2 linked regions of the Styela clava genome follow. The protein of the gene in region 2 interacts with the protein of the main gene of each other region in a pairwise test. Links are inferred from orthologs where the notes say so. Each region holds a gene or a part of one and is shown on either strand. Other genes may lie near its edges. The genes, in order: small ribosomal subunit protein uS5 and programmed cell death protein 2-like.

The links.
Region 1: the proteins of programmed cell death protein 2-like (region 2) and small ribosomal subunit protein uS5 interact in a two-hybrid assay, tested with the Drosophila melanogaster proteins (2 studies listed by BioGRID). The link is inferred for Styela clava from reciprocal best matches to the Drosophila melanogaster genes Zfrp8 and RpS2.

What each region holds. Positions count from the first base shown.
Region 1 is NC_135259.1:5,040,511-5,053,859, reverse strand, and holds small ribosomal subunit protein uS5, read right to left. Parts: upstream 6,107-13,349; 5' UTR 6,089-6,106; intron 5,798-6,088; 5' UTR 5,797-5,797; coding exon 5,464-5,796; intron 4,473-5,463; coding exon 4,299-4,472; intron 3,727-4,298; coding exon 3,567-3,726; intron 3,252-3,566; coding exon 3,088-3,251; 3' UTR 2,700-3,087; downstream 1-2,699. UniProt on the Drosophila melanogaster protein: Component of the ribosome, a large ribonucleoprotein complex responsible for the synthesis of proteins in the cell.
Region 2 is NC_135264.1:14,422,540-14,435,495, forward strand, and holds programmed cell death protein 2-like, read right to left. Parts: upstream 6,657-12,956; 5' UTR 6,586-6,656; coding exon 6,488-6,585; intron 5,855-6,487; coding exon 4,855-5,854; 3' UTR 4,235-4,854; downstream 1-4,234. Other genes in the region: uncharacterized protein LOC120333673, read right to left, coding at 103-817, 2,986-3,135, 3,933-4,207; RING finger protein unkempt homolog, read right to left, coding at 10,787-12,410, 12,685-12,956.

The sequences.
Region 1 (13,349 bases), on a different chromosome or scaffold from region 2:
CTGTGGTATTTTTGTTAATTTTAGGTCTATGTATTTAGTCATTTTTAGTGTATGTAATATTCATTCCTTATCAAAACTTTGTTCAAAAATGTTTTGAATAGTTGTACATAAAAAAGTTATGATTACAGTGAATTGCAATATATAATAGTGAAATGCAAAGATTAATATGTAAATGGCATTTGAAAATTAAGAAAATAACAAAACTTCATTCGGCTGTTTAATTGCATCACAATATATGTCACAAACTAAATCTATCTAAAATATGCTTCAAGTATACATTATCAAAATACATCAAAAACTGTTTGCGGCCTTTTGCACAATTTCCAAAATGCAATGCGGCCCTCGAGAACCCACGAGTTTGGCACCGCCATCCTAGGATATATTGGTATGTAACGCCTAATAAATTTTTTGTCCGTCAGCGTTTTTTGCCCGTCAGCGTGACTAAACATGTATTGATAGAACTGTCTCATAATAATGACAACCCAAGTCTTATCCCATTTGTTTGAATGTGTGCCAGTTTGGGTTTGGATTCGAACGTGATCTCCAATTTGCAAGGAATGTAGTTGTCGAAAGGGTTCGTTCCAGCTTTCCGCAGCCTTCATGTGGCAATTCCTTAGAACTTCCTCTGTGGCTGCTGTTCAGTCCGGATTTGGCCCGCGAGCCGCAGTTTGCCCAGATCAGCTCTAAACTCTAGAATAGATTCTAGCTAGAAAGGTGGATATGGCATCGCGGTATCGTTTGCATGGTCTTACATTGATGGCGTGGCATTGGTGTCTTGTGCAAAAAAAATATTCATCAGGGTTTTCAAGTTGATTCCTATCCCATCACTCAAATCGAGCAACTCAACAGCTTGGAAAAATGCATTTTCGAAGCTCCCCGACTATACAAATGTGTCGTCACTTCGTTCTGTTGGGAGGGAAAGTCTGAGACCATTTCGTCGAAGCGTCTGCTGTAGACATCACCAGATGAAACAAGTGCAGTTTTGAGTATTTTGTGCCGTCTGAAGCTGCCGCAAAACCATGGCGGGATTTTCAAAATATTTTGCCGTCACATTTTTAGGGCCCTCAAGAATATATATGCCTTTGCTATTGGCTGCAGTCATTTGCATGGGTAGCAGATGGGAAGCCTTTACGTCCAGATGGAGAAACCACATAAACAGCCTTGACATACCGCGTCCACTATTGATCATAGGTAAATTGTTCGCTTTGGAGTCATATTTAGCAAAATCCGATGGTTTAGATCTCCATAAATATATTGAAAAATGGCTGTATATCAGCCCTGCGATTCACCCATCTTTGGTACATATCGGCGATGGTCCAAAAAAGTCTCGTTGGACGAATGATTATCAACTAAAGACAATGAATTGAATGAATCAGGTTTTCCATGTACAGTCTATCCATCGCTATATAATGACAATACATCCCATTTAATTAAACAATTATTTTTTGCCTGTAATAAATAGTTCAGAGCGTTCCCCTTCACCCAATCATTGAAACATCTACTCGCGGTTTTATTTTTTGTTTTTCAGGTTACTTCATAGTGATTAAATGAAGTAAAACACATAAGAAAAAAATCAAAAAAAGACTCCGATATCCTGTGAAATAACAACCTCATTCCTATATCCTTGTCTGAAATCAATACCCAAGAATGAAAAACCTCACTTACACCCTTTGTAACCAATTTATTTCCACATCCTACTTTACTTAATTATAGTAATTTTAGTGTTACCGGTAACTTTAATTACTTACTACAATCTGGACTATAATTTGGCAATAATAGGCTCTAATTTGGGGAATGAAATGGTCTCGCCCACCTCTTCATGCACCCAATTCTGGCAACTTTGGTTGGGCAACTTGGCATTTGACTCCAACTATAATCAGCTTGGCAATATGTTTTCAATAGAATCTTCCTTTTATATCTTAATTAACGATTAGAAGATCGATCAATTTGGCAATGGCAATCATTACAAAAATATCAATATGGTGTGGCAGAAAATTTTTTTTTCTTTTCTAGTATTTATTTTTTTTTTTGTTTACTGTATAGTATACCCTAAATTTATCGCGTTTTATTCTTACTTAAATAAATTCTCAGTGGTTGTGTGTGTGTGTGTGTGGCTGGTGGGTGCATGTGAGCGTGTGTGAAATAACTTAATAATTTTAGGTGAGTAAACACGTACCACTTCCTCTTGGCAAAACCTTCCATCTTATATTTTGTACGTTATAAACCTTATCTAAGGTTTTGTTTGCTCCCCTGATTTCATAATCAGTTTTTATTTATTTGTTTTTATCTGTCAAATGTATTGTTATGCTGATTATGGAGTCGAAATAAACTTATACTTTCAGATGCCTTGTTTTTTACCACGACAAAATGGTGTTGTAACACCGAGCAGTAGTCTTATGAGAGGACAGAGTTGTTTCCCGATTTTCAGCAGAGAACTTCTTCAACGTCCCGTATCTCCACAGCACGCACAGGCGGCGTTTTATCGGGGGTTAGGTCGCTGAAGCAGACCTTCAACCTGTGCCTCATTTTTTTACCTACCACCCCAATATAGTTGATATAACTAGAATACGCTTTACAACTAGATATTTTACCGCATTGACATCTCACTATTTAAACTGTAGCTTCACCGTGGTACGATACCAGGGCCCAACAAGGAGCGCCTTAAACCCACACTGTCCGCTTCCCATAATCACAAGAAGTTCAGATGGCTGATTTCATTGTCGCAAAGCAATCGATAAAATACCAAATCATACAAATGGTGGCACGATGGAACATACTAACAGACAGAACACAATTAAAGTGATAGATAAAAGGAACAAGATAGTAAAACATTTCACCACTAACAGAGATCCGACTGTCCATGTCAAAACAAGGACTAAAATGATTAAGAGCAAGTTCCATCAAACATTTAGATGTCACCTCAGTTGAACTGAAAGAAAAGTAAATTAGCGATAATGGTACGAAAAAGCGACTAGCCAACTGTTTTTTTTATATTTTTTAGCATTTGGTGAGCACCATTTGGCTAATTAATTTAGCGAAATGAGCTCAAGCTGCTGCAAGCAAGCTTGACAGCATGTAGCAATGTTTTTAATATTGCTTGACTTCCTGGCGTTGAACTCCGCTCTGCATGTGATGTTTTGACAAATGATCTGTATATTCCTGATACGGAGTCTTTCCCAGAGGTTGATCTTTCCAAAGATCAGGGGTAAGATAGCTGTAGGTTTTTGAAATTGCGTTGAACGTGGCTTTCGCTGAAATAGAAACACACAAAGTTTATTCGACAGCTACATTTTTTTCAAATATAATTTCAAAATTTTGTTATGAAGTCCGTTCTCAATATATCTTGACCAGGTTATTCATATTTTAATTGGTGTTTATTCAAGTTTTTACCTCATTCAATACACTTTCTATATGTACATCAAGTTCTTTCACCTAACTTGATATGGCACTCCATGAACGTATGCTAATAATGTAAGTTGTATCACCAGGGCATAAAATTTTACTTCAACTAACCATGCAATATGTAAAAGTAAAGATAAAGCGACGTGCATTACAGAATAACATACCAAAATTTCCAAGTGTGGCAGTCTGTCCACGGGCAGATGTGTAACAGTCCTCTAGCCCTGCCATCTGCAGCAGTTTCTTTGGAACAGGTGCAGAGACAATGCCAGTACCACGAGGTGCAGGAATGAGTCTCACATGGACACTACCGCACTTACCATGAACCTGAAAAATTGTGCGATTTACAATTTTGAGTATGGGCGACAATTTACAAAAGTTAAAAACTAGAAACGTTGGTTACAATCTCATGTTTGCCTTTGTAGAGATAGATATACAGTCCCAATCTCTGATGATTTCTTTTGAGAACTATTGGACTGACATATAGACAGTAGGTTTAACATTTAAAGTAGCTACACAAGATGTGCACTGCCAAAGAGTACAATGTTTACTCAGACAAAAAAGTCAAGTACAGCTCGTATCATTAGGTGGAAAAAGTTGCTATCAACTACAGTGGATTTTCTCATTACAGGCAAATGCTTCAGATCAGCTTTTCTCATCAAATATTTTCAAGAGTAGCAAATATTTTTCTGAACATCATTAGCATTTGTCGCAGATTTCACTTGGCTTTAAGATTGACAAATATTTAGCAGAAGTATATTAAATTATCATCGCTGATATGTATAAATGATCTGACACAAAGATTTACATTTATATTGCAAGATTCAGCTTTTTATTATACAGACAATAATACTGCTGAAACCAAACAAATCATTACCACGAAATAGAAATTACAATACCTTGCATGGTACTGTATGGGGTTTTCCAATTTTGTTTCCCCAATAACCCCGCCTGATCGGGATGATAGACAATTTAGCTAAGATGATAGCACCACGAATCGCTGTAGCGACTTCTTTGGAACATTTCACTCCTAGACCGACATGACCTTGGAAGTCACCAACTGCCACAAATGCCTAAAAAATAGGTTGGAAATTAAATTTCAAATAAGTTTAGTAGACCTGATCAATAATAATACAAAATTATTATTTACAGAGCATACTTATGTAAGAATTTATTAAAACTCGAAGAAATCTCAGTTCTATTGTACCGAAACGTAGTTTAATCATATTACTGTTATTATTAAGCAAAAACAAAAGACTGCCATGAAAAAATAGGCTACTGTGTCAACTGTCAAGAGTCTTCTCGCTATCTGTATGCGACTAAAGTCAATATTTCTAAGTAAAACTAAGCAAGGTTATGCTTACTCATTTAAAAAATTAAAAATGATAATATACGAGTGAAGTTACAGGCGAAAACAAAAATACCAAAAACTATGCAAGACTATTAACTTATATTGACGAATTGATCGTTAGTAAATACATATTGATGAAAAACAAATAGCTCATGTCAATACAATTCCTGAATCTTGGAATCAAGAAATCAGGCATGAGAGAATGGATACACATTAATGAAAAGAAAAGTCTGGGCATAATATTTTTTTCATGCAGTAGTCACACTGACAGTTAATGCATAAGTGCTCACAGCCAAGTGAAAGCATTTTGGAAGGACAAGTTCCGAAAGCTACTGTGAATTGATGTCATCGAAGCTGTTAGGTCATTTTGAGCGCAACTTTGCAACTTTATAATATTTAGTCACTGTGTAAAGTCTAGGTATTTTCGAACAAAATATTTATTGGTTAGTATACCAAGACAAAAGGTCCAAAAAATCCTCAAAAAAGATAGCACTCTTTAAAAATAAAATCATGCGTTTCAATGTGATCAGAAAGAGAAGTATTTTCAAATTGAAAATAGATAATGTGACAATTGACTTTTGTTAGCTGTTTTAAATTACGCTGTTTTTTATGTGACTCCTTACAACTTTATGGTTTGAAATTTGTCTCCGACACTAAAAAAGGGTCAAGAACCAGTGTTAAATCTGATTGAAGCACCAAATATTTATTATTACCTTGAATCTTGTTCTCTGTCCAGCCCTGGTTTGTTTCTGAACAGGCATGATTTTTAGAACTTCATCCTTCAATGCGCTACCAAGGAAATAATCAATGATCTCAAACTCCTTGATTGGGAGTGAGAAAAGATAGATTTCCTCAAGAGATTTGATCTTTCCATCTTTGACCAAACGACCCAGCTTTGTGACCGGGGTCCAGGTCTTTTCGTCATCTTTCCCACGACCCCTGCCGCGTCCTCTACCTCTTCCGCGGCCTCGTCCTCTGCCGCCACGTCCACGGCCTCCAAAACCTCCACGGAATCCTCCTCCACTGGCTGGTGCTGCGTCCGCCATGCTAAAAATTGAAATACATAGTTTACCTGATACCAGCCACAAATAACATGAACCAAAAAAACATACGGTACCGGTACGTCCCAAAGTTACCTCAAAACTATCGTTCGCCATTGCTGGCCGAAAGTAAATCATTTTGTTGTACTAATTGCAACATTTATCCGAGGTTTTAAACAAATAAACGAAATATTTCACTCCAATCCTACAAAACACATTTTTTTTATGAGATCGGGCCAAAATAAGTCGAAAATATCAAGATTATAGCAGATTAAATTCAGAAGCAACCAAGACTTACTTGTGTGGTATCAAAAAGACTTTGGTCAAATTTTTGTTATGCCTCGTGCGGCCACGTGACGTAGTCAGCCATGCGTGGAATTATGTCTCCAAAAGTATCCCAGCGTGCATTTCAATTATAAATATCAGTTTATTTCGACTCCATAATCACCATAACAGGCGATAAAATAATTGATAAAAACAAATAAATGAAAACTAAATATGACGTCAAAAGAGCAAACAGAATATATAAGATGGGAGGTTAGAATCGAATATTGCCAAATTATACTCCATGGTAATAAATTGGTTATAAGGGTTTTATTATAGGTTTTTCCCCAATTATAGACAGCAAATTCAGACGAGGATATTGGAATAAAGTTTATTATTCCACAGGATCACTTTGGGATTACGTGGATGATTCATCAAAGTCTTTGTAAATGTTTTCTGTGTAGACTTTATTTGATCATTGCGAAGCAGCCTGAAAAATGAAAAATAAATCTCCGAGTACATGTTCAAATGAGTGCATATAAGGTAACATTGTGAACTATTGTTTTGGGACAAAGAAATTGTCCAATGAAATTAAGGAGGTATTGTTCATTAAATATCAGTCATTATGTAAAAAGGGTCGGAGGCTCCAGGAGGAATTACTGTTTGAGACGCAGAAGTAATTATTGCACCATGCAAAAACACTCAACTTTGATCATAGCACACTATATACACTTTGGTCACCAAGTCAACTTCACACCTTACCTTAACATAAAATGCATGTTTACATAAAAGATAGAAAACCACATCAAATTAAAATCACCATCAGCAAACTAAAATGTAAAGGGTAGAATCCAATATAGCTCGACTGCTGGCTTAGTTAATTAGTAATTCTGCAGGAACTAAATTATATTGTCTACAACCCTCATCATGAAATACCACCACTCAAACACAAGAAAATTCATGCATGCGTAATAGGAATGATCTCACATCACGGGAGAGGTTAGGAGCATGCACATGCAAGTGTCAGAATGTGAACAGCTATTCGAAGAAATTCCATCTAACCAAGTATGTCGATTACCACGCCATAAATCATACATAGCATTACATATCCCGCTACGAATATTTTGTAGGGGAAAGTGGGGAAGGTTGGGACACTTTTTTCTTTTGCGTATTTTAGCCGTTTATCTTGCACATTCACTTAACTGTGCGGGACTAATGGAGAGGAGGGTAAATGTAGTTTTTATTCAGCGACTAAGAAATTTCCTTGCGATGCAGTGGATGCACATCTTACTGCCAAAATGCTTTGAAAAACGTTTGTTAAGTGTCCCACTGTACCCCACTTGTGGGGCACATTCGGACAGACCATGGGTAGGGTTACCATATTTTTGTGGCTTCAAATCGGGACGCCCCGAAAGACAACGACCCCTTAGCTGTGATTTTATAACTTCACATTTTCCGATTTTACTACATAGGCCCACATTCCTACATTTAAAGCTGTCTCGGCTGTCTTTATTGACCATATTGTTATCGAAATTTCATGCGCATATTCTCTGTCAAAATATCGGGTTCAGTTCGAAAAATAGGAAGGACTTGACGTTAACGATACCGGTACAAATAATTCGAATTTAGACTAATTAGTATTGGTTTTACATGCGATACGTCTGCCATCAATGGGAATCAGTGGGAAACGAACGCATTCGCCTTCAGTAAGTAGGCTAGCGCTGCGCTACAAAGAAACAACAGTAACGAGAACATGTTTGTGTATTATGCTGGAAAAGCGGGACTTTGGGCTGACTTATCGGGACGGCGGGACAAAACGCTGAAAAGCGGGACTGTCCCGCCTAAAGCGGGATGTATGGTAAGCCTAACCATGGAGCACAATGGGTCATTCTGTCAAAATGCAACGATGTATTCCTTTAAAAATAAGCAATCAATCATCCTAATCGTCTAATAAAGAACAGGAAGACTTCAAATTTGAAGATTTAGGATTTTTAAAATCAATGTTCAACCGAAATATTTCAGCTATTGTATCAAAATATTTAGCAAACAAATTAAATTATTTTTTTTCTCAAATCTAAATCTGGAAATATTTTTGATTCTCGAATATATTCCATATTGGGCCATGGGTCGAAAGATACCATAATATTACACAACATATGACCCATCTGTAGGTCTCTAAGGACTTATTGTATCAAACACTGTCGAATTGTGCCATGTAGGGCATCCCATCTGAACCCCGGTCCATTGTTCCCCATAATAAACAAATACTTTCAGACCATCCCACGGGGAAATTCGGAAGGCATATCCACTCGCCAACGTTATGAATATTCTACAGTAGGCTGAAACTAAGAAATATCATACCATGGCCTGTCACGTTGGAAATGCTAAAGTAGAAAAAAGAAAAAACTAGAATAGTGAAATTTTGGTTTCAACCCCCCAAATCCAATTTCACGTCAAAGCTTGCGTCGCTCTACCCGGCCGTTGTCCGTTTGCGGGGACGTTGTAACTCACCGAAGGGCGGATTGAAACATCGAACTGAGGACCGGATATGGTATCGGTGTGAGAGTTGATTTTCCACTGTGCCCCATTCCCAACGTGCCCCACCTTCCCCTACCAGACTTTGATTAAAAACAAAACTAATTAAAATTTGAAAGCGGTTAAAAATAGCACAACAACACGCCTAATCACAGTACCCAGTAGTTGCAGGGACAATAACATTATTATTATAGCTGGTAGCTGCCCAACATTCTCATTAAAATAACAATGTGCAAGCGAGGAGGAAGAGGAGTGTCCCAACTTTTCGTCATTGCGCACCAAAAAGAAGCTCATTTTACTCGAGGTTTGATATTTGATTGCTTTAAACTATCAACACATCGTAATCAATTTCATAGAAAAATGATGTATATATGTGCCAATATCCATATATCTAGTTTAGAAACAGTAATTTTTAATATTTGGGACCTAGAAGCGACTTAACTTGTTTTTGAAAAGGTTTTTTGTACTTCAACGTCTCCAAATTCAAGATAAGTCAATTCTGAAGTTTGGGTCCAGGGAATGGAGTAAAACACTGGGAATGCTGGCTCACATATTCGCTCATGCAGGGTAGAAACAAATCGGGAGTTACTTCTTCGGCTGGGGGTTACTTCCTCTATTTGACAAGTATTTGAAGTAATGGTCAACATTTTCACATCTTCTTTTCCCGAAAGCAATTCTTAAAAAATTATTACAAATACTATGCAATTTCGAGACGAGTTTTTTGTTTTCATGGAGCCAGACTAAGCAACAGTGTCGGATGTGGCTGAGTAATGATGATTAAAACATTGCTAGTAAAGTTGATTAATTGACATACTCAAAAACCTTGGCAGCTACTGCCAAATTCATTTTTGTTCTAGCAATAACATGTGCAATTTGTTATTTCCAAAAGTGATTTTCATCAAGGATAACTCCTAAGTATTTTATTTCACTCACTATTTCAATATCTTTGCCGTTGAGCATCAGTAAAGGTTTTCAAATATGTGACCGAAAAACATGTCTGAGAGAAACAGAATAAAAATCTTTTTATTTTATATGCAATATTTTAATCCTTGCTTTTCTTCATCCTATAATGAATTAGATATCTATAGTCGGCCTGAGTTTACTTATGCAATCATTATATCCGAATCATATTATATATATAAAATTCTTCATATCACGACGGTAACCTGATTAACTCTCCAAAACCCCATTCAATATTTTTAATATATATGTATAGTATTAAACGCGTAGACTCCTTTAAATTTATATATAAATTTTCAGTCAGGGTGAAGTGGTGAACACAGGGGTTAAACCTGAGATCATCAACCTGTAACTCAAATATTATTTGTTTGTTGAATTTATGCTTGTTTATCTTTTCGTAATCTAATAAAAGTCTTCAATACTTTCATATAGTCACCCAATGAACTGTGAACCCTATATATGCATAACATAAGTTGACTGTATTGTCGTACTAGTATCGCCCCCTCCAATCTTTACCAGAAAACATCAGGTCTGTTTATTGTATTTTTCACTCCGTTTATTTGTTTTTGGAGGACAAATCAATAAATCTATCTATCATACATAACCCCAGAATCTATCTTTTCCCACCGTACTATTCTAAATAGGTAAGTATAACAGTATTTTGAATCCATAATCAGTATAACACATGATTACTTTTTCAGAATATTACATCCATTTGTTTTTATTGTTCGGAAAGTAATTAAACTAAATCAGTAAGAAACGTGCCACATGTTTTACTGAACTTAATTATTGTTAGAACTAGCTCCAACTTTTCCGTGCTATGAAAATTGTAAGGTTTCAGTCTAAAGTCGTCTTAAAATTTATCCGGCAAACAATATATGTCTGTTTTCTGTAATATTTGTGTAGGTTGCGTTTATGGATCAATCCGGAGTTGTTTCTGAAGTTTGAAACTTTGCTTATTTTCAAGCGTGTACATACATACATACTGCATCAATACTCATACACAGTAGGCCTACTACATGCGCACTATCTCTAATTGTAATTTTATGTCTTACTTCACCACGACAAAACCAAAATACGATGTAATTTTATCGCATTATTGGATCGTTTTTATTAGGTTGTTGTTCTTGTTGGTATTTTTCCACTGGTTGTTAGTTGTTACCGTATGGGAAAATTTCTTTTCTCATTAACTACTGGATCAATTGCTTTAAAATTCTCAGTGCAATATATTTTATCGCTAGAAGGCTATAACTTTATTAATTTCAAAATTTTCTGTGGGCTCTATGTGATTCGTTTTTTACTACAAAATTTTGTGTGATGAAATCTTTAAAATGAATACAAATTGTTTGTAGCGGTTCCTCAACCTCTCGCGTGCTACTCTCTTGCTCCGCGAAAGTCGGAAGCTTTTTGGATGTAGCTGTACTTTAGAAGGTAGGGTAGACTTCTTCTTCGCATTGCCCTTCTTGTTTCATACGATCATACATTTATCACGATGACAAATCCACCTTCTGTAATAGTGAAAAGTCAATACCTCAATCTTTGTCATTTTACAGAAAAATACAAGTTAAAATTATGAGATGTAACACATCATTATATAGACAGCAGATAGCGAAGTCACTGATCCACAGGTCCATATTTTTTTATTACCCCATAAGTCACGAATTATGGAAAAAGCATATGTTATATCTTTATAACAAGTAATGAACACAGACTCATTACAAAACTGCACGCGATTTATTTGGACGTCTGTTCCTCAACTCAGTTCAGAACAAAAGACCTCTAAAGTCTAAACAGAGAGAAAACAACTTACGACCAGGGTTGTCAGACCCCAGCGATCACAAAAAGCCGAATCAGGACATAAAAAAAGCCAGAAAAAGCCACATAAACCATATCAGGCATAATGAAAATTGAGTTATAGGCCTACAACTATTTTTTGGAAACAGAACGTAAACTGACAAATAACACGCAAAACTATAAAAACGAGGCGATGTTTCCAACCCTGCTTGAACATCTGTCTGAGCAGCTGCAGAAACTGCACTTATTTCTTATTGGGTATGGTTAAGAGTTAAAGTAACAAACAAGGAAATCGATGCTCCAGGAAATCCTAATGTTAAGTAGCTAAGTAGGCTACAGGTAATAGGCTATTGTTCAGTTGTTACACACTAAATATTGTATTTCATATGATTTTATTAATAGACACTAGAATAGACTTGAAAAAGCCAAAAAAACGCCAAAAAGCCAAACGGAAATTCTGACGCCAAACGCGTTTGAAAAAAGCCAAAAATGGCAAACCGGCTTCAATTTCAAAATCAATAGCTTTTGCTATCTTGCTTTCTATAGAAAGCATTGACAAACTGTTTAGTCTTTCTTGTGAGACCGCACACCTCAAGTATGTTTTAATTAGTTTCAGCTTTGAAAAGCTTTTTTCTCCTGATGTAACAGTTATTGGCATCGTTAAATAAATCCTCAACGCAATGAAAACATTAGGAAATGTTGTAAATCTATTGTTTTCTACCAGGTGTTCAAACTTGACATAAGCCTTAATTACTGGCCTTTTCAAGGTGCGATGGCCCAATTTGATAAAATCGGCCCTATACTATAGTTACTAGTATACCAGTATGCAGATACTGGCAGCAATGCTGTTACAACGCTTATGAAAAAACAATTGAACTGTTAATATCTCTCAAGATGTCTTCTTAGAGCCGTTCCCTTTTAGAGGTGCACGAGCCAAAGTGGACGCAAAAGGTTTTATTTCATATATAGAGAACTACTACTTTGCCATATATTCTTTTCCCGCATATATTGGCGTTTGAAAAACAACGAATACGTTTTTTCGCGCGTTTGTTTCATAAACTCGAGTACCAATGTTTATCTCATGTGTAAATTTAACCCTGGTTAAGAAATGTTGGACTAGAAGAGGCATTGAAATCATATGATAGAACAAGCTTCCGACTCCGAACACCGGACTATCAGTACACATTTGTGTGGTCTAGAATCAAAATCAAAATGTCTATAAGACAGCCCCTAAGCGAGTCCCTCACCACACAGACGTTCAATTGGCGGAGTGGACTGTATAACCATACCTCTGTTTATTTAGAAATACTTTCATAGCATTACTACAACACGACGAATTAATACACTACTGATTACATTGCTTAGTAAACTAGAAAAAGAACGAACGCCATTTCAATAATTGAACACCACCATCATGTAAATTGGAAAATAAAGAAAAATTCTGAAAACACGTGTAATATATTCCCATGGCTATTACCAACACATTGATCGAATATTACCTTTCTGCTCAATTGATGAATATAAATTAATATTTTGTTGCCAGTAAACTTGTAAATATATTTGAGCATTGTGCAGTCGGGGATGAAGAGTATTGGGATTCGATATATTGAGCTCGCCATCGCTGAAAGAGTTGAAGAAGAAGCAAATGACACCCACCAACTTCGTATGGACATAGAAGATTAATTCACAATCTACTTGGGCCTGTCTGTTTTACTGCAGTACGCACTGTGCTAGTCAACAATATTTTTGAGGTGACGGGTGACAGACACTACTACGAATGCATCGATCTTGAGTCATCAGAAAAAGTTGTTGCTTCGATTGCAACTGCGAAAATACACTACTTTATGTTTTTATGAACTGTTATCAACATACCGACCTCAATAATTCGATGGACTCAGCAGTAATATTGGTACTTTCCTAGTATGTCTTAAATTTAAACAATGCAGCTTAAAATGTAATAAAATAGACTGACACTCCTGAACTTTCTATATATATATAAGCCATGA
Region 2 (12,956 bases):
TGTAACATGTAATAATTAAAAAAAAAATATTTTATATCTGTAAATCCATTTTAAACAATAACCATCAAAATAAAATATAAAGTGGTAAAAAAGTCAAATTTTTTACTCAATCTTTTTTGAATAGCCCTGTATCTCATCCATGTAGTCGTTCACATCCAGCGGTCGTTCTAAAAAACCCAGTTCTTGGACTGTTTTATATTGGTCTGGAATCTCCATTAACGTGTGAAGTGCTACAGCTGTTTCCGCATGCTTACCGCCAAATTCTTTAATTACTTTATTATAATCCACGAATTGAAAATTGTCGAATTTACGCTGCGGCAACCAGTCGTCAAATCTCTGTAACATTGTCCATGGTCCGTCGCCGACCCCGACGACCACAATGCTGAGCGGATGATTTGAGGCTTTTACTATTGCTTCGGCTGTTGGCCCTTCGTCAACAAATTGCCCGTCAGCGATGATAATTAAAATATGAAATTGTTTATTTGTGTCTTCCACAATTTCAATTGCTTTATTAATAATAGGAGCGTAGCTCGTCGGTCCATCTAGTGTTACCCTGTTTACAGTCTCCTTATAAAATTTTTGTAGTTCGTCAAAAGATGAACAAGGCACGTGACTCGGATTTAACGAAAAAGTTGATTTATCTTTTGTGAGAGAATCCCCGAAACCATATGCATGAATGCACTGTAATTTTGCCGGTTTTCTGACGGACATGCGTGTGTTGTTTACGTAAGGATCATGTCCATAAGGAGTCATCAAGGCTAACAAAGTTCGATTCAGAATGCTGATTACATGCTGATAAGGGTTTTGAATGTGGGACCTGTAATATTAGAGAGATTATTACTAAGTGCAAGATAAATTAAGCACAATTTAGGCCTTATTGTTATCGAAGTACACCAGCGTTTCTCAAACTTTTTTTCTCCTGGACCACATACACTTTTTATCTCTCCGCCTATCCGCCTGTTTGTCGCAAGTTGGGAGCCAAAGTTTAATACCCAGAGTCGCCAAAGTACGACCGAGATCGCCATGACGACCAATTTACAGTTGAAGAAGACAGTATATAATTTTAATAATACATTTAGCAGAACCTAGCAGTTTAGGCAGTTGTGTTGGCATTGGCCATCACAGATCTCATTCTCAGGTACAAGTAGCATGCCCCATGCCAACTCAACCTGGGGTGTAACAAATTGCATAGGTAATGCCAAACCAGAAAAATTCCTTCTAATTTACAAATCGTACAATATCAGTGGTGGCTTGTACAGGGCCTTGTTTAGAGCAAACGATACAGTAGTTAGCTTCTCTAAATATCCACAGATAAGAATTTTAAATTATTCGATTTTCAAATCTTTCTAAACAAAATTTTGCATAATCAGAAATCGTGTTTCTTCCTTATATTACTTCCTCATATGTCATCACATAAATAAGGTCATACAGGTAGACATAACCTGTTAAAACCTCCCACGTTATTTGTTATGAAAACAAAGAGAGGAAATGACAGAGACCAAACAGGAATTCTGATGATACTAATATAGTAGGAAGAGCTCATAGTTTGCTGTTTAACAAGCATAAAACAATGATGGAACATTCCTTAATACAGGGTCATTCGAGTAACCGCTGGTCGATTAAAGCTTCCTCTGCAATTTTAAAGTGTATATATAGTAAATACCGTACCCACATCTCAAACAAGACTGATGAAGTGCAGACTAATTTAAAATGGTTTTCTTATTTTTCATGGTATCAGAAATTCTACCGTGAAAAACCATGAAAAGTTTTGCAAAGTAAAAACCATGAAAAATCACCAAAAAATTTATTCTTAAAATTTAGGTGGTATTGAAATTGTAAGAAAGTATTGAACATTATTAATCATGAATTGATTCAAATCTTCATTTCATTCCGGATTTCCCTACTAATACAATAACATTTTTGCAGGCTTAAGAATTATCAAGAGTCCTGATGCCCACTAACACAAATATATTCAGGTCAGGTCAGACGAAACGTTACAGAAAGATCTTTGTGTTAGTGTGCAGCAGGACTCTTGCTTGAATTGCATATTATGGCATTTTCCTACTACAGCATCCTTGCATTATACGCATATGGATCCACTAGCGCAAAGGCATTGAAAAAGGATTGGGATTTAGTCTCGCGAAACCTCTACTGATAGTTATAAATAATTATTACAGAGTTGTGAAATAAGTTTAATTGGTCAATACAAGTAATTCATTAATTTTCTACGAAAGCACTTTATATTCATTTTAATGGTTTCCAGTTACCAGAGCAATTGATAGGCTGGCTTTACAATAGTAATGCAAAGAAAAAGGTTTATATTTTCAAGGAAATGCCTATTATATGAGTAGAAAATTGACCCTAAATCAACGTTTGTCTATAATTTTCTTCAGGGCGATCGATAGGCTGTTAGTTTTACAATGGTAATACAAAGAAAAAAATTTATATTTTCAAAAAATATCTATTATTTGCGTAGAAAAATGACAACAAATCCGCGTTTTTTTATAATTCTCCAGCATTGAATAAGAACTCAAGTCAGTTATAATTTCCTTCTACATTCAATAACTAGTTTGAAACACTATATTAGTATAAGAAAATTTATGTTGCCTATATTTCCAGCACTTAATACATATGTCACTGCAGAGTGAAAGACAAAAATAAAGCACAAACATCATATTCACAACTCGGGAAAATATTGAAATATTTGATGTTTACTATGAAATTTGAAGAGTCCTGCTGCACACTAACACTTCCACAAACAAACAGTTTATAACAAAAACTGTTTGTCTGAGGAAGTTTGATTTTGGTCGGACGAAACATTTATTTTTTATAGTTGAGGTTTATTGGACCAAAAAATTTTTATGCAACAAAAGAAAAAAGGTTGAGAACCACTGCACTAGGCATTGAGGAAGGATTTGGAGTTAGTCCTGCACAACTTCTACTGATAATTTAATATATATATTTTAATTGATTGAACAATATTACCTGGAGCTGACATGGTGAAGGGAATGTCCTTTATTAGTGGATCGTCCTTGCCATTCATTGCTGGCTGTAAAATCTATTCCTAGTATAAGTCGACATTCTTCTAAGCCTGCTTCTTTGATGGCTTGAGTTACATCTTCAAGCGATTTGAATCTGAGAATAAAAATGGTTGAAAAGTCGAGATTCCAATGAGAAATGAGGTCAGCACTAATTTGAAGTCAGATTTCTATGTTATTGAAACTGAAAGTCTTGTTATGCCGATGAGCCTTCCCCCCCCCCCCCCTTATTTTATATGTTAAAATGATTTTCCCTGTATTTTTTCATGAAAATTTTTCACACCTTTGTTACAGCCTAGGTTGTATGACATGGGATGGAAGGATAATCAAAATTCAAAGAACCAAAGTCTTTTCAGATCAGCACAACACCAATTTAATAATAAGACTGAAAATGAACTTTTTCTAAAATAAATACCAGAGATCTACAATATCAATTTTATTCAGAATATGCACTCAAGGCATAATCATTGACTCAATGACTAAGCTAATATATTACTGGTTAACTTCTGCAGAAGACATAGGACTAAATCATGTTGGGCATCATACATGTCAGGATTATAACCTGTTGTATAAGTATAAGTTAAGTTATAAGTGTATTTTGACTCCATAATCAACATAACAGACGAAAAAATAATTGATAAAAATAAATAAAATAAACTGATTACAGAATCGGGAGAGAACCTAAACTATAAGTAATATATAAAACAAACAAATTTTGAATTGAAAGGTGTTGCCAAAAGAAGTGTTCAACCGCTTAAAAATGAATTATTACATCACACACATACAAACGCAGAGATGTAATAAAATTAAAAGGAGAGTAATCGTTCTCTATTTCACCACCAGATAGAAGGCTTAATACTTATATTTGAATAAAATTTGGAAATAACAACAAACCTGTCTTCGAAGGCACGGAATTGAAATGGTGATGGTTTCTCATGAATCAAGGCGTGTGGATCGTGATAATTATTATTCCAACTTTTAAACAATGATCGAAAAAATCCACCATTATTTTGACAATTACACCCGGGAATGGTGCAAGTATTTTCTGCCACTATACTCGAGCTTCGAGATGAATTAGAGTCCTTTTCACTTTGTCTTAAATCTTGGATGTATAGATCGTATAAATAGTATCCAACGATTGTAGCTATAATGAATAAGACCACTGACATAACTAACACTAAATTATATAGCCTACGCTGTAAAAGAAATATAAATTGGTCAAACTCAGGCAATGCTCTCAAGCTCTTTCCAGTTCTTTGAAAGTCAGTTGAGTAAATGGAACTAAAACTCAAAAACAGACCAAATTATATCAAAAAAACTAGTATTATAACTTAGTGGGATTGATTATTGAACACATGGACAGTATGGACGTCCACATCGATCAAATAAGCAAATTAGTTTGCATTAATTTTATTCAATATTCTAATTATTTTATTATAGAATTAAATTAAGATGGTTTTAATTGAAAAATTATCATTTTTAGCAATTGAAGTCTTAAAAAAATTCCCATATCAAAATTTAATATTTTCCAAAAATTTGCTATTTCTATAGAATCCTTCAATTAATCATAGTTTTTAAATAATATTTAAATAGATCATTTTTCAGCAAAAATCATTCTATATATTCAATTCTACTATAATATACATAACAAATATGATTTTGCCATAAAAACAACACCTAATTTTATTATTCTGCATTTTACTAAAACACCAAACAAATTTTAAACAAAACTCAAATCGGAAAAGCACCAAAAAAATTCCATAAACTAAAAACGAACTGAAAAATAGGAAATCTTTCCTGTAATTTAACTCTAATATCAATCTCCAACATTATGTGAAAAATCCTGTTTATGAATATAATCAGGAATGTAACTGATACTTTCAGACACACAATCATTAGAGCAAGTATATATTGCCAATATCCCCCAATCTATGCACGGACCATCTAAACTCGACTCTAAATTCAGATGATTCAGAAGTTGCGGCATAATTTGGAATTCAAATTGACGTACAGATCCACAATTCTCACATTTCGGGACCTTTTCAGACAACATTTTGTTTTCGTCAGAACACCATAAAGGTTGGCCGCCCTTATCATATCTCAATATTTGATCCGATGAATTTGATATTGTTTTTCTGAAAACTGCAAATTGATTATCTTCAATACTATAATCTGCAAATTGCTCTAATTCTCTCGGAGAAAAGCTTCGATTTTGAGAAACATTTTCAGATTCGTAATCCTCATTAACACCATTTTCTTTAATGTCGTCCAAGTCGTCTAAAATTCCTTCCGCTTCTATTATAATTTCATTTTCAGGGTAGAGAAGTTTTAAAGAACTTTCATTTTCTCCATCAGAATCACTTCCAAGGTTGCCACATTTCACCTTATGACTTTTCCAGCCTAAAACTTGATGTTCTCGGCTACAATATGCAACAAGTTTGCATTTAGAGCATAATTTATCTCCTTTGTTTCCACAAATATTACATAAATTTTCGTAGCTCATGCAAGACTGGGAAAATGTTCTTGAATCGTAGTCTGGAGGTTCAGAGCTGTAAAACGCATTTTCTTTTTTTAACTGACATCGGAAAACGCGAAAAGGACCATTCGAGTTTGTGGAATAACAAGAAGGTGTTTTGCAACAGAATAGAAATATAGTTCTGTGGAAAGCGTCATCCAGGTTTTCATTTGGAGCATAAATTTGAAGAAGGAATATTGTTGGTTTTCCACAAGATGGGCATTTCAGTTCTTCTGTTGAAGGCAAGTTCTTTGGGTCCAACCAGGCAGGTTTTCCTCCCAGTTTGCTAGGAAAGTAGCATCTTGAAATTAAAAAAAATATTATTAAATAAGTTAATAAACCAATTATTATATAGTTATTCTTGCCAGCTGATATAGGTAGCTAGGTTGAGTGATGTAATAGTATGGCGCGGTCACGTCTTACCGTTATAGAATTCGAACGCATAAATACATGCGTCAGTGCGTTGATTTGACCAAAACACGTTTGTGTCCGACACACTATCAACTTTATCGTTGTTTTTTTCAACCCGTGTGACTCACTTTTCTTCAACATAAAATGCCCGAGAATCCTCTCACTGCTGCTCATCGAGTCTTTTTTTTATGATGTAAGTATTTTTATTTGTGTTAATTTTGGTGAACGAGCACACCCGCATCATAAACTTTATTCTATGTTTTGTTCATTTCATTGTTTTCAGAATGCCGAAATAAATTGTATTGTTTAAAAATATATATGAAGTAATTTGAAGCAGAATTCTGATATGCTAGTAGATTATAAATAGATAACCAGAAGTGATATAGGCCAATCTTAATCCGTCGTACACATAAATAATTATTTCACAATCGAACTATCAAATTTTACATTTCTGCAATTTCCAATTTCGATTAACTTATCTAAAATGTTAAACATAATATTGCAAATTCGTAAAATTACAAACCTATATAGTCTCCAAAAGTCTTCGTGATCGATATTTTTTAAAAATCCAAGTTCAATTCCCGTCGAGGATGAACCCTGACTGCTTTGATCAGATTCCATTGCAACAAAACCCAAACAACATTATCAATGAAGTCGTCGGCGCGGCGGTTACGAATGAATGACTGAAAGTGAATCACCGTGTTTGCTGATGAATCAATTTCGCGGTAATGTAGGTTCGCGCAAACGGACCTTAAAATTTTTTAGAATGTTTTTTACTGTCTGTCATTATATGAGATGACTTTCTAAATACCATATTGAACCGACGAAAAAGTCGTTTGAATTTTGCTTCATACCCCTACCTCTGGCACCAAATTTAACATATTTATAAACGCATTAAACGGTAACTTTCTTTCATTTTATTTTGGCATATGCGCAGACATATTCTGTTCATTAGAGAGTAAATGCGCAAACTATATATACGTTTAAATGTGGTACATATATTACATATCACATAATATCGTTCGCTGTATCTCTAGAGGGAAAATTATAATACCATGGGCTTCACATTTTGCCCTCAGAATTTTTTTTTACGATAACCCAATATTAATTAGCTATTTTATTATACCTAATGTAGTCTTAGCGGGTTTACATGTGTGGAATGCCACTTTACGCAAGTGAAGATGAATCTATCACATTTAGGATTGGATTTACATATATATATATCCCAGGGGAGAGGAAAGCCGATAAAACGGCTTATCCATATGGCGAACCACGGTCTCTCGTCCGGTTACCATTTCAAGTGGGTATGGGATTAGTTATATTGTTTGCATGGACTTAGTGGTGGAGGAAGCCGTAACCGACCAGCGGTTCCGTGAACCATCCAACGACGGCGAGGAGTCCAGCAATCCTCTCGCACATAACCATCCTGCATGGGATTCGAACCTGCGAACACACGCAGAGTAATTAGAGGTGCGGTGGCGAGCGTATTCCTAACGCTTAGCCCGTTGAGCCACGCCGCCGCGCCTTTTAGATACATCACCTAAACATGGCAGTTCGACGTCGCACTGTAGCCTATCCTTAGTCTTTCAACCCGTGGTAAATTACAGCCTCCTCCGCTAGCAATGCTGTGCATTCTTAACGAAACATACCTGTCAAGTAATATTACAATGGCCAACATGGACAGCCAACCGAACGAGAGACGATGGTTTGCCGCATTATCAAGTAATCTTATCTACTAACTAACCTTTCCATCGGGATAAATACGAAATCATATCATTTATCGTTTGAAACGGAACGAATCCGGGAAATTAGTAAAAACTCAGGAAGTCTGGAGAATTTGCAATCTAACCCGGGAAGTTACGAGATTCGATAGAGGGTTACAAATATCTTTGACTCCGATACTGGGACAGCACCATTTAGCCCTGGAACACGAAATAAAACTTACTTCATGTAGCAAATACGACATGACAGTCCCGATATCTATGATAGTCATTTCAAGTATCAAGGCCCATGCACCTGGGATGAAAATAATTGGCCAACTAATTCCATACCCAACACGGACTGATAACCGGATGAGAGGCCGTGGTTTGCCATATGATTAAGTCGTCTTAGCATGTTTATCTCCCCCAGGATGAGTATGTAAATCCTATCCTAATCACAAGCAGCAGTATGATGAAGCGATATATTCACAAGCACATTACTGACTGGGCACAAATATCAGAGATGGCGCACAACCTCAACATAGTACGGGTACCAGGTTGTGGTTCAGGTTGTGCGCCATCTTGGTACACATACTTCGGGAGCGCCAAAATATCAGTAAAGACATCTTGTACCTCAAAATTGGGATAAAAAACGAAATAGGGGAAGATATTCAACTCATACCAATAAGACACCAATTGTCGCACAAAAATATATTTGTCTGACAAACAGAAAGGTGTTTTTGCTGATAAAAACTGATAATCAGCGAATTAGCTAGTTTGCATTTCACGATTAATAAAGAAAAGTAAATAATTCCATTATAAGAGTACAGTATAGAAGAAATATTTGTACATTACAATTACAACCCATATATTCCACTCCATGTCTGCAATTTGTTATTCCCGAACTATTACCGACATATCACACTTTAGATACAACTGCTAATTCCCTGTTGAATTCGATAATTTCACAGCAAATTTGATTATTTTTGAGCTGCAAAAAAACACCTTCGTCAAATAAGATCAATTTGAATTGTTGTAATCGAATCTTCCGGCTATTCCTAACAATTTTACAAGGCAATCTGAGTTATAAAATTTCAAAGCTGAAATATCTGATTAAATTGTATTAAAAGTGTTTCGGCCCACTTCCAAGAAAAGATAAATTTACCATTTTTTCTTTGGAATTACATTTGGCATGAAATTTTATCCTAGTCAATCTAATTTCGTTTCTAATGCAAGAGATTGAAAATAATTTAGATTTTTGGTTTAGTTTTGCTGAAGCAGCACAACCACAAAAACCTTTCAGTCTGGCAAAGAATAATACACCTTAAATGAAAATGAATTTCTAGGGGTGAAAGGTCAACAGGTATATAAAAAGTTTATTACAGATCAAATATGGCCTCGTAAAATCGACTACTTCTAGAAACTGGACCAAACATGATCATAGATAAACTCTAAAAATCGCCATAAAACACCAAAATCACACTGCTCAAAAATGGTAAAATTAACAGAAGATTTACAGAAATTGAATAAGAATTCATAACCGTAAATTGGACTATTTTTGTAATTCATGAAAACACTTAAATTTCTTAGTAGATTAAACAACATTTTCAACAGCACCATATGAAAAAATAAATCCACATTTTGAAATAAGGTTCTTAAAATAAATATACATTAGGTGAGACTCATAAAAATAGTTTTGTTGTTTCCCCAGCATGCAGTAGCAAAGTGATGGATATACAAAGTCCTTTCACGATTTCAATTTCATTGTGAAGTCAATTCTCAGTATGTCCTATACAGGTTTATTTTTATCAGTGCTTATTTAGTTTTATTTACTTCATTTAATACACCTATGTGCGCCCACAAACCATACATATCTATGATTTTCCTTCAAAATTTTAAAATTTGAAAGACTTTATAAACTCCCTGTATAGTAGTTTGTATAAATTCATTTGCCTGTCTTGAGAATATTCACATATAAATTAATTCAACACAAATTGGCTGAGTAGTTTATGTACCATGGAATTGTAGAATGTAGGAATTGATATAGATAGATGTTTCTATATTCTAATACAGTGGTTCTCAAAAGATGGGGCGCACCCCACAAATTTTTATTGTTTAAAACCTGATGTGGCCCTGATCCACCCAGACTCTGCCCCCAGTGGCCCCTAGGTAAATTAAGTTAGAGACCCCCGGTGTAGACAATTTTTTGAGGGGGTTTGAATCTAATCACAAATAAAAATATTCGTTAAATTGGATCTTGCCGTTTTATTTTAGATAGTTACATTTCTTTATTCTGGATATTTACGTTCCGTCCACGTATCTTCAATATGCTTTTTGAATAAAACTTACTTTCGCCTATTATCTATAGCTTATTGTTAGCTAGTTATTTTTTAGATGGGGCACGAGACTTGATAAATTATAAAAAGGGGGTGCAGCTTAAAAAGTTTGAGAACCACTGTCCTAATAAGATGTCTGAAATTTTCACATGAAATTGACTTAATTCCTAGGACATCCCGAAAGTCGACTAAAATATTTCAAAACAATATCTATGTATATTGGCTTCCTGTACTAGGTCTTGTTCCGAGGAAAAATAGTCAGATAACAATCGACAAATATTAATAGCCGAGCGTTGAAATAGAATCCAGAAATAGTAGTCTTTGAAAACTTTTTTATCTTAAAACACTAGTAACTTGAACAGTTCCCCAAGCTCTGTTTTGAAAAGTAAAACAGAGAAAACACAAATTGATAAGTAGAAATGGAACCTATTGAAACTGCAATGTTAAAATTTACAGTATAAAAAAATAATTGTCTTATAATCTTAATATAGGAGGCATGCTGGTTTCGAAAAGGTGTGTGCCAGCTAGAACATGGCTCACGTTGTGTCTGATACCCTAAATTACATATGAGTCAAGTATGCCCGCACTTAAAAATAAATCAGTATTAATTTTACATCTAAACACATCTAAAACAAACAAAAAATTATATCGAACTAGACTCTCCTCTATAATCCAAAATTAGGTTAAAAGTTAATAAATCGGTTATAATATTAATAACAAGAATGATAAATTTCATTTGTTTCAGTTTTTATTTTAAAAAAATTATTTTTTTCAGTCTGTTGCAAGTCATTTTTTAACCCATCCTTCTTCGCAATGAATCCCGTAGGATTCCCATAAAACTTTGTCTACGGAATCTAAATCTGATTTAAGTTTTGTACGAAGTTCTTTTAAATCTTTCACAGAGCTTTGTTTAAGCATAGTAGTTTTTTGAGCTCTGTGTAAAAACATACATTTTTGAATATTTTTTGAGTTTTCCCTGTTTTGTACGTCCTCAGCTAGAATTGCGATTTCATCATTTGCTTTTTGTAACTCATGTTCATAACTTTGAGCGTTTTCCAAATTCTTTTTAGCTGATTCTTGAGCGATCCTTGCTCTTTCGTTCGCCTCTGTCGCTTCTTTTTTCCATGCGTCACACGCAGTTTTCGCTTGATTCCAGCTTTCTTCCCATTGTTTGCATTTTCTTTGCATTCTATCTAACTCCATGAGAGCGCTGTCATTCCCGGAAACTGATCCTGAAAATCCTTCTTTACTGCTGAATCCCGATGAACTAGGGGGGCGTCCTATCGATGGGAGAGAACCAGCGTAACTACCTCTTCCACCAACAGCGTCGAGACTCCCATAAAATGAGGTCTGATTTGCTCCACTAGGTGGTGATGGAGTGGGTAACGGATTTCGTTGCGACATTCTCATTTCCTGAGGAATATTCACTGGAGCAGACATCGTAAAAAATGAGGAATTATCATTTCGTCCGGACCCTATCGGATCAGGCCAAAGTTTACTCGCAGAACTGGGTCCTGATTTATTATCCAATAAATCATGACCTTCAAAATCATCCAGGGCATTTCCAATTACGGAATCGACGGTTTCATCAGGAGGATAAAACGGTTTCGCCTCACAATTCAGTAACCTTAATCTATTTAGAGATTTCGGAGACGATTCCGTACTTGACAAACTATTTCGACCAATCAAATGCGAGCTCATGGAACCGCCTCCCCATGAGAAGGGACTACTCGCAAGACCGCCGAGACTTTGAGCTTGAAATTCCCCTCTTCCCGATCCTGGTGCTTTCAAATATCCTTCCCCTTTTCCAAGGCTGCTAGAAAGCCAGTTCGGTTTGGCGATTGGTGAAGGGCATGATGGAAACGTGTTGTTCGAAACAGAATCCAAAGGACTCTGTGGGGATTGAAATAAAGATTGCTGTTGATGACGATCAGGCAATGAAAATGGCGCCGGTATCCCTCCGATTGTGGGGCTATCACTATTCCAAACATTTTTTGTCGATTCAAAAGACGCAGAAAAACGTAGATCATTCGGAGCTTGAGGCCGCCCCGCTCCTGGTGCATTACTAGGAACAGCTTTTGGCTCTGATGGAGCAATACCCCCATCTTGTGGTCCGGAACTTTGAGGACTTAGGCTGTTGGGAGACAAGACTTGTACTCCTGGTGGCAAATTATTTAAATCCACATCTTCTAAGACTCTTATTTCTGTATGAACATGGGCAAAAGCACAGAACGGTCCCCGAGGGCAGTAACCATTTTGTAACATATCGTGACACTTTGTACTTTTGTAAATTTCCGGATGGAATTGTTGTTCCGTACGAGTGTGACAGAACTGACAATTATCTCCTTTATCACATGAGGATGGATCCTTCCAATCATCTCCTTGTTTCACATTGGGACAAGGACTAGACCTATAAAAACAAAAACAAGCATATGTGATATTTAAGGAATATATATTTTAGGTAAGTGAACACACACCACTTTTGGACAACACCTTTCAATCGAAATTCTGTACGTATTAAACACAAGTAGCAAATGTCATGACTCATGACCAGAGTTTTACAAAGTGTCCAACTGCCAATAGAGTCCCTTCTGAAAAAAGGAATTACATACACCATTCATAGATTCATTCATTCTAGCAGTAGAAGTGTAATATAATTGAAAGTTGTATAAATTCAAACTCACCTGTATTTATATTTTTTAGGATTTCTTCTTCTATCCTTGGGATTATGAAATTGCGGACAAGCGTAACCTTGTCTACAAAGCCTGGGTGGCCTTCGGCATGGCTCAGTTTTATAATTTGCTAAAACGTAATTCCCATCCTGCCATTTCGGATCATCGTTGATAATTTTTTCTGATAGATTACATTGCTCAATAGGTTCCGCTCTCTGGGCAGGGTCGGGTTTTTCCATTTCACGTACATCGTACACTGGGGGCCTTAAATCAGGTGCACCATG